2 linked regions of the Arabidopsis thaliana genome follow. The protein of the gene in region 1 interacts with the protein of each later gene in a pairwise test. Each region holds a gene or a part of one and is shown in the gene's direction. Other genes may lie near its edges.

Region 1 (5,323 bases):
TTCTATAATCAGATTTTTTTTTGGATTAGTTTCTTGTCTCTTTGATTTATGAGAACCGACTTGAATGTATTTATTTTATTTTTGATGATTGAAGGAGATGAGTTCCTCTAGTGAATCTCATCTAGCCACCGCCAAAACAGCTCTCACAGCGGTTGCATCAGTTGCTGCAGCCGCAATACTAGCTCGATCAGTGGTTCAAGATTACATGCCAAACGAGGTTCATGAATATATCTCTCACGGCTTTCGCAGATTCTTCAGCTACTTCTCTTATCAGATGACAGCTGTAATAGAAGAATTTGGAGGTTTTGAACACAACCAAGTGTTTGAAGCTGCAGAGGCTTATCTCTCCACCAAGATATCTAATTCCACTAGAAGAATCAAAGTTAACAAACTTGAGAAACAGAGCAATTATAGTGTTACTGTTGAACGTGATGAGGAAGTTGTTGATATTTTTGATGGCGTCAAGCTTAGTTGGATCCTTGTATGTCGCCATGTCGATAAAAAGGATTTTCGTAACCCGAGAGATCTCAACTCCACTTTGAAATCAGAAGTGCGTAGTTACGAGCTTAGTTTCCGAAAGAAGTTCAAGAACATGGTTCTTGAATCTTATTTACCGTTTGTTGTGGAACAAGCTGCTTCTATTAAACAAAAGTTTAAAACATTGAAGATCTTCACCGTTGATTCTTACTCCGTGGAGTGGACCTCTGTGACTCTAGATCATCCTTCCACGTTTCGCACTCTCGCTCTGGATCCCGAGGTGAAGAAAAACTTGGTGGAGGATCTTGATCGATTCGTGCAGCGGAAAGGCTTTTACGGGAGAGTTGGAAAAGCTTGGAAGAGAGGTTATTTGTTGTATGGTCCTCCCGGTACTGGAAAATCAAGCTTGATCGCAGCTATAGCTAATCATCTTAACTTCGATATCTATGACTTAGACTTGACATCACTTAACAACAATGCTGAGCTACGGAGGTTACTTATGTCTACTGCAAATCGTTCCATTCTAGTTGTGGAAGATATAGATTGTTCAATCGAGTTAAAAGATCGGTCTACTGATCAAGAAAACAACGATCCGTTACATAAAACGGTGATGCATTTTGATTCACTATCAGTTATGTTGTTATGTGATCTTTTGCTTATTAGCATTACTAATGTTTTGGTTAGTCATTTTCAGGTCACACTCTCTGGTCTATTGAATTTTGTAGACGGACTATGGTCAAGTTGTGGTAACGAGCGGATTATAGTGTTTACGACTAACTACAGAGAAAAATTGGATCCAGCATTGTTGAGGCCAGGACGTATGGACATGCACATTCACATGTCGTATTGCACACCAGCTGCTTTTAAGGTTTTGGCTTCGAATTATCTCGAGATTCAAGATCATATACTTTTCGAGCAGATTGAAGAATTTATCCGAGAAATTGAAGTTACACCAGCAGAAGTAGCTGAACAACTGATGAGGAGTGACTCTGTGGATAAAGTACTCCAAGGACTTGTTGAGTTCTTAAAAGCCAAGAAGCAAATAGATAATTCAAAAGCTTAGAAGAAATTTAGTTCTTTTATTTGTTTCTTTGTTAAACACTATCATGCAATTATTGGTTATAAAATGTTACAGAAAGTGAAATCATTTTTTTTTTTCCTAAGTGAAATGCGGATATTGTTTTATGAGGTCAGAACATGTCTAAACTCAATGATAAGATTCTAAAGTAGATTGAGACAAGTTTCGTAGTCGGCAGCAGTAACCAAGAAAACGAGTAAGGTTGACTCTTGACTTGTTAAACCATTGACTTCAATTTCGATAAAGTCTCTATGTAAGCTCATTTTTCTGAAACAAGTTTTGCTAAAAAAATCCAAAGATCTGAAGCTTCAGATCCTTCTCGGCTAAGGCTAAGTCACAACCTTGTAAGTTTACTTTACTTTGGTTAGATTTGTTTCAATGTTCTAGGATTCTACATGTTTCTTGAGAAGATATGGATTAGTTAAAGAATAATCCAATCTTTTGGTTATTGAGATTCTATAGTCGTTGGTTGATTGATTTTTGGAAAGTTCAATCTAGTGATGATACACATAACCGATTGAATTATTGCTTGGTTATAGTTTACCAATTAGAGATATTTCTTGAAGTTGCAGGGTCTGAGTAAATGGTGGACGCTGTTGTAACAGTGTTTTTAGAGAAAACCTTGAACATCCTCGAAGAAAAAGGCCGAACCGTATCGGACTACCGAAAACAGTTGGAAGATTTGCAAAGCGAATTGAAATATATGCAGTCTTTTCTCAAGGATGCAGAGAGGCAGAAGAGAACTAATGAAACGTTGCGTACTCTTGTTGCGGATTTACGAGAACTGGTTTACGAAGCTGAGGATATACTTGTGGATTGTCAGCTCGCGGATGGTGATGATGGGAACGAGCAAAGGTCATCAAATGCGTGGCTTTCGCGGCTTCATCCTGCCCGGGTTCCGTTGCAGTACAAGAAAAGCAAACGTTTGCAAGAGATCAATGAGAGGATAACGAAAATAAAGAGTCAAGTAGAGCCTTATTTCGAATTCATAACGCCGAGTAATGTTGGAAGAGATAATGGAACTGATCGGTGGAGCTCTCCGGTGTATGATCATACTCAGGTGGTTGGTTTGGAAGGAGATAAAAGAAAAATCAAGGAGTGGCTCTTTCGATCAAACGACAGCCAGCTTTTGATAATGGCCTTTGTTGGGATGGGAGGGCTAGGTAAAACTACAATCGCTCAAGAAGTGTTCAATGACAAAGAGATCGAACATCGTTTCGAAAGAAGGATATGGGTGTCTGTGTCCCAGACTTTTACTGAAGAACAGATCATGAGAAGCATATTGAGGAACTTGGGGGACGCGAGTGTTGGAGATGATATTGGAACATTGCTGAGAAAAATCCAGCAGTATCTTTTGGGGAAAAGGTACTTGATAGTTATGGACGATGTATGGGACAAGAATTTGAGCTGGTGGGACAAGATCTACCAAGGACTGCCTAGAGGACAAGGAGGTAGCGTTATCGTGACCACAAGGTCGGAATCTGTAGCGAAAAGGGTGCAAGCGAGAGACGACAAGACTCACCGTCCAGAGCTCCTTAGTCCTGATAACAGTTGGCTGCTGTTTTGTAATGTGGCATTTGCAGCAAATGACGGTACTTGTGAGCGTCCCGAGCTAGAGGATGTTGGCAAGGAGATTGTAACGAAATGCAAAGGTTTGCCTTTGACAATCAAAGCGGTTGGTGGGTTACTTCTGTGCAAAGACCATGTCTATCATGAATGGAGACGAATTGCAGAGCATTTTCAGGATGAGCTAAGAGGAAACACTTCTGAAACTGACAATGTTATGTCTTCTCTGCAGTTGAGCTACGATGAACTCCCTTCCCACCTTAAGTCGTGCATTCTCACGCTTTCGCTCTATCCAGAAGACTGTGTTATACCAAAACAACAACTAGTACATGGATGGATCGGAGAAGGTTTTGTCATGTGGAGAAACGGAAGATCTGCAACTGAATCTGGAGAAGACTGCTTTTCCGGGCTCACAAACAGGTGTCTAATAGAAGTTGTAGACAAAACCTATAGCGGAACCATCATCACTTGCAAGATTCATGACATGGTTCGTGATTTGGTGATCGATATAGCCAAGAAGGATTCGTTCTCTAACCCGGAAGGCCTCAACTGTCGTCACCTTGGGATTAGTGGAAACTTTGATGAGAAGCAGATCAAAGTTAACCATAAGCTGAGAGGCGTAGTGTCAACAACTAAGACAGGTGAAGTGAACAAGCTCAACTCAGACTTAGCTAAGAAATTCACAGACTGCAAATATCTTCGGGTTCTCGATATCTCGAAATCCATATTTGATGCTCCTCTGTCTGAGATTTTGGATGAGATTGCAAGCCTTCAACACTTAGCATGTCTTAGTTTGAGCAACACACATCCGTTGATCCAGTTTCCTCGTTCCATGGAAGATCTCCACAACCTTCAGATTCTAGACGCAAGCTACTGTCAGAATCTGAAACAACTTCAACCTTGCATCGTCTTGTTCAAGAAACTCCTTGTACTTGACATGACGAACTGTGGATCCCTTGAATGCTTCCCCAAGGGTATCGGAAGTCTCGTGAAGCTCGAAGTTCTGTTGGGATTTAAGCCAGCCAGGTCCAACAATGGGTGCAAGCTCAGTGAAGTGAAAAATCTCACAAACCTTCGGAAACTTGGTCTTTCTCTGACTCGTGGCGATCAGATAGAAGAGGAGGAGCTTGATTCTTTGATAAACCTAAGCAAGCTGATGTCCATTTCGATCAACTGCTATGATAGCTACGGCGATGATCTCATAACCAAAATAGACGCCCTTACTCCTCCACACCAGCTCCATGAGCTTTCTCTACAATTCTATCCTGGAAAGTCGAGTCCATCGTGGTTGAGTCCTCACAAGCTTCCGATGTTGAGGTACATGTCAATATGTTCAGGTAATTTGGTGAAAATGCAGGAACCATTCTGGGGAAACGAGAATACTCACTGGAGAATTGAAGGTTTAATGTTAAGTTCATTGTCGGACCTAGACATGGACTGGGAAGTGCTGCAACAGTCAATGCCGTACCTGAGGACCGTGACCGCAAACTGGTGTCCAGAGCTAGAGTCTTTCGCGATTGAAGATGTTGGCTTTAGAGGCGGAGTGTGGATGAAAACACCATTGCACAGAACCTGATGAAACGTTTTAAGCAACTAGATCAATGTTTATTAAACAGTGACAATAAGTTGGTGTATTACATATACCTTGATACAATGTAATGTTGCTTTGACCGTTTGGATTTCATATCGCAATTTTCTTTTCTAATAATCATATAACAAACGAGCAAAAAGGGAAAACAGAGACTAGCAGCAATGGCAGATCTTTGATGTCAACTGCTTGATCAGTCAGAATCAGAGTCCAGATTCTCTGAAGACCTAACAGACCTCCGTATGCTCTCTTGATATTCGGCGTCTTCATCATCTTCCTCTTTCTTCTTCTTGCTGAGCATTCCTGTTAAAGATTTGCACTCTTTAAGCAAAAATTCTCTAACTGGGCCGTTATAATAAAAAAAAGGTGGGACCGAGGTTCTTCATACCCTTTTTAAGAAGAACGTTCTCTAGTTTATTCGTTGTGAAATCGTCCTTGGTTCCCAGATCCTGGAACCCAACTAGCCTATCCATCGCAACTCCCTTGCTAAGAATGGTAAAGAAACTCGTACTTTATGAGTATACACCTAACAACAAACCCTGTATGTAAGAAGGAATAGAAAGAGGCGAAACCTGAAAAGCACAACGCAAGGCAAAGTCTTTATTGCAAGCTTC
Region 2 (3,835 bases), 2.5 Mb from region 1:
CGAGTTGTTCTTCAGAGAGATTGAGAGTTTGTGAGTTTGCATTTGTTGTGAATTGAACTCAAATCGCAACTTTGTCAAAGTGTCTTAAGTCCGACCCAAATAAAGTCTACTACTAAAGCAAATTTCTTTGTATAGTGTCTAAAACTAAATAAGCAAAATGCTTTTGCAATTTTTACATGTTATGTTAAGCAGTTGCCTCTTAGTCAAAAACAAGAACAATGTAGTGTTGAATCTGAAGCAGAGAGTCTGCAATTTTGAAACCCATGTCGTAATATAGAAATTTCATTTTTGCCGCCAAAAATAGAAATCGGTTATAAAAAGAAAGCATTCAAGCCAAAATTTCAAATATATATATGCTTATAGGAGGATTAAGCTTAGAATCATCTTTGGTCTGTCTTCATTCCTCTCCTCGCAGCATCTCAGTGCCAACTCAAGAATCAAACAGAAACAAAAAAAAAAAAAAAAAAAAGTCTTGACCTTTATAAGTTTGACCGAACTGTTTTAAATATTGTTCTGGGACCCAAAAGACAGCCGTTTTTTTTAATGTTTTTATTTGTGTTTCTTTGACCTCAAATGTTATAATCAAATCATACACTTTCCTTTGAACCATTCTAATCTTTTCACGAAAAAAAAGTTTCTTCTTGGGGAGAGGCTTTGATACTGATCCATCTGTGTATTGATGAATGATCAGAAGATGAGTTGTTGGAGGAAGAAGTCGAAGAAGAAGAACTCAGAAGCAAATCAACGGCAAAGATGGTTCCAAGAGAACGGGAAGGTACTCTTAGAAGATCTCATCGAGCTTTGCAATGGCAAATCCAATCCAATCAAAACCTTCTCTGCTGAAGAAATCCTCCAAGCCACCGATAACTTCAGCGAGAGCAATCTCGTGATTCGGTTCAACTTTATGTACAGAGGTATACTCCAAAACCGTCCTGTTTTGATCAAAAGAGCCACATGGAACTACTACAAATCTGATACATTAGAAAAGATCTGTCGTGACATAGCGGTCTCATCAATGGTTAGTGGTCACAAGAATTTCCTCAAATTGTTAGGATGTTGTCTTGAGTTTGAGCATCCGGTCTTAGTTTGCGAGTATGCAGAACGTATACCATTCAATACTCCAAACCCGGAAATGTTGTTACCGTGGAGAATGCGAATAAAGATTGCCAAAGAGATTGCGATTGCGGTTTCTTACCTTCACACCGCGTTGTCAAGAACTATGATTCATACGGATATACAACCTTTTAACATTTTCGTGGATTCCAATGGGACAGCAAAGCTAAGTGACTTTTGTCTTTGTATCGCAATTCCAGAAGGAGAGACATTTGTTAAGGTTCATGCTGATAGAGTAGAAGGAACATTAGATTATCTAGAGTATAACTACGCGGCGACCGGATTGATCACCGAGTATACCGATGTTTTTAGCTTTGGAGTGTTGTTGCAAAACTTTTTCACAAGAACGTACGGAGTGGTTGATTGTTGTTGCAGTGAAGATGAGAGTCTATTTGAAGAGTTTGAAGACAAACAAAATGTAATGAATCTAAGGATTTCAGATAGGATATCCAAATTTGTGGAAGAGGGAAGAATCTTTGACATGTTGGATCCAAAAATGTTGGAAAGTATGGGTGATGATGAAACCGAAGAACACAAGATACGACGAATGAAAGCAGTCCTTATGCTCTCACTCAGATGTACTGGTCATAGAGGTGATGTTCCAAAGATGATGGAAGTTGCCAAGGAACTAAAAAGGATTGAGAGATGGACATAGAGGAAACTTTTACAAAGTTTATTGTGTGCATTTGTATGAAGAGGGCTAACTGGTGGGCAGAGTAGCTACAGTTAACTTATTTGCTCAATGTGTAATATTTAAGAAGATGTGGATCAAATTGAAATATCTAATTATGGGAGTAGAATGTATATTATAAATGTATTGGGTCAATATTTAATAACTAAAACGACATGGATAAGATTATAATATCTAATTTGTCGGAATTTGACCACTCAGTAGTTGACTATCACAAATCAAGTTTGCTTCTTTGCAAAAGCCAAAGTTTCGAACTTTCTCCAATAGAGATGAGCAAGAACAATAAGAAGAAGAGAAGATGGGATTTGAAGAACGGAGGGATTCTATTAGAGGAGCTAATCGCTTCCTTCGACGGCAAAACCAATCCGATTCGTTGCTTCTCCTCCGATCAGATCCTTAAAGCTACCGACAATTTCTCCGAAAGCCGAATTATCTCCAGCTGGGGATACTTCATATGGTACAAAGGCGTAATCGAAGAAAGACAAGTTTCAATCAAGAAATGGTCGAGTCAAAATCTCTCAAGCTTCACAGAAGCGTATAGAGATATCTCTGTATCCTCTCAGATGAGTGGACACAAGAACGCTTTAAAGCTTATAGGTTGTTGTTTGGAGTTTGATCTTCCAGCTTTAGTCTGTGAATACACAGAACACGGACCGCTTAATAGAGACGGAGGACTCTCAAGTGGAGTGGTTTTACCATGGAAAGTGAGATTGAAGATTGCTAAAGAGATAGCTAGTTCTGTGACTTATCTTCACACGGCGTTTCCAGAGACTATAGTCCATCGGAATATAAATCCGACGAACATTTTCATTGATGAGAATTGGACGGCGAAGCTTTCTGATTTCTGGTTCTGTGTTGCAATACCAGAGGGGGAATTGTATGTAGAAGATGATGTGAAAGGTGTGATTGGTTTTGTTGATCCGGACTATTACTGGACAATGAAAGTTACTGAGAAAGTGGATATTTATAGCTTTGGTGTTGTGATGTTGGTTTTGTTGTCTGGAAGAGCTGCTGTGTTTAATGGACCAGATGAGGCTCCTATGTCGCTTAATGATCATGTGTCTGAGGTAATGGAGAAAGGTGAGTTTGATGAGATTGTTGATAAAGAGATATGGAATGATTTGGGTGGGGATGATGATTTGGTTTTGAGACGGTCTCAGGTTAAAGCGTTTCTTAGATTAGCGTTGAGATGTGTAAGATATAAGAAGGAAGATCCAGTGAGTGGTATGCTTGAAGTTGCTAAAGAGCTCAAATTGATTGAGAAACTCTCTTGATTAGTCTTCCTTGTCTTGTTAGTTTCTTCATACCTCTTGAAAGAATGATAACTTCTGAGAAGTTTTAGTGATGTCTCAATGTGTTTGAGTTCTTGTGTTAGTCTTTATCTTGTACTATCAAGAACTCAAATGTCATATATTGAGCTTATTTTTTATTAATTCCATTATCGAATAAAGACATTTTTTTGGCCAGCCAGAGAGGGTAACTTTACTCTCCTAAGTGTGAATTTTTTAGTGATGATGTCTCAATGTGTTTGAGTTCTTGCTGCTACCTGTCTTTGTATTTTTCTATCAAGAACTCAGATGTCAAATATTGAGATCATTTTCTTGATTGATTTCGTTCTCGGATAGTGGATAAGCCAAATAGATAGTAACTTTGCCTCCAGTGTGAACACATTTAGTCTCATGTTGGTGCTCCTCAAAGTCAACACATTTCTTTAGCCGACTACATTACTCGCTTTGGTTAGTGGACCATACCCACTTTTTAGAGTAAACTATATTCAATTTTGATATGGCTTCCTTCCTTCTCTTATTCTGCAGCATTCATGGTGTTTTCGCTTCTGAGGTACAATTTCAATTCTGAGTTCAATTTCGTAGACATTATTAGAGGTTGGATTCCATTTCTTGTCTTCATATCTTTCTTTCCATTTTGGTGTTCATTAGCTTTCATTGATTGTGACAAAACTTATCAACTGCTGTTAAATATTTCTAAGTTCCAGTCTTGTTCTGTGGAGAATAGAGATCGAGAAAGTGGGAT

Evidence for each region. Proteins that work in one complex are often made in the same cells at the same time.
Region 2: the proteins of ZAR1 (region 1) and AT3G57750 interact in a two-hybrid assay, tested with the Arabidopsis thaliana proteins (one study listed by BioGRID).

The regions. Positions count from the first base shown.
Region 1 is NC_003074.8:18,933,989-18,939,311, forward strand, and holds ZAR1 (HOPZ-ACTIVATED RESISTANCE 1), read left to right. Parts: upstream 1-1,685; 5' UTR 1,686-1,899; exon of another isoform or gene 1,900-2,127; 5' UTR 2,128-2,138; coding exon 2,139-4,697; 3' UTR 4,698-4,811; downstream 4,812-5,323. Other genes in the region: AT3G50940 (P-loop containing nucleoside triphosphate hydrolases superfamily protein), read left to right, coding at 98-1,084, 1,172-1,540; PLP3a (thioredoxin domain PLP3A-like protein), read right to left, coding at 4,903-5,012, 5,098-5,195, 5,282-5,323.
Region 2 is NC_003074.8:21,391,977-21,395,811, forward strand, and holds AT3G57750 (Protein kinase superfamily protein), read left to right. Parts: upstream 1-1,986; 5' UTR 1,987-2,073; coding exon 2,074-3,078; 3' UTR 3,079-3,312; downstream 3,313-3,835. Other genes in the region: AT3G57740 (Protein kinase superfamily protein), read left to right, coding at 680-1,768. UniProt on the Arabidopsis thaliana protein: Together with RPP13L4/ZAR1, involved in the ambient temperature (above 22 degrees Celsius)-sensitive aerial organ development.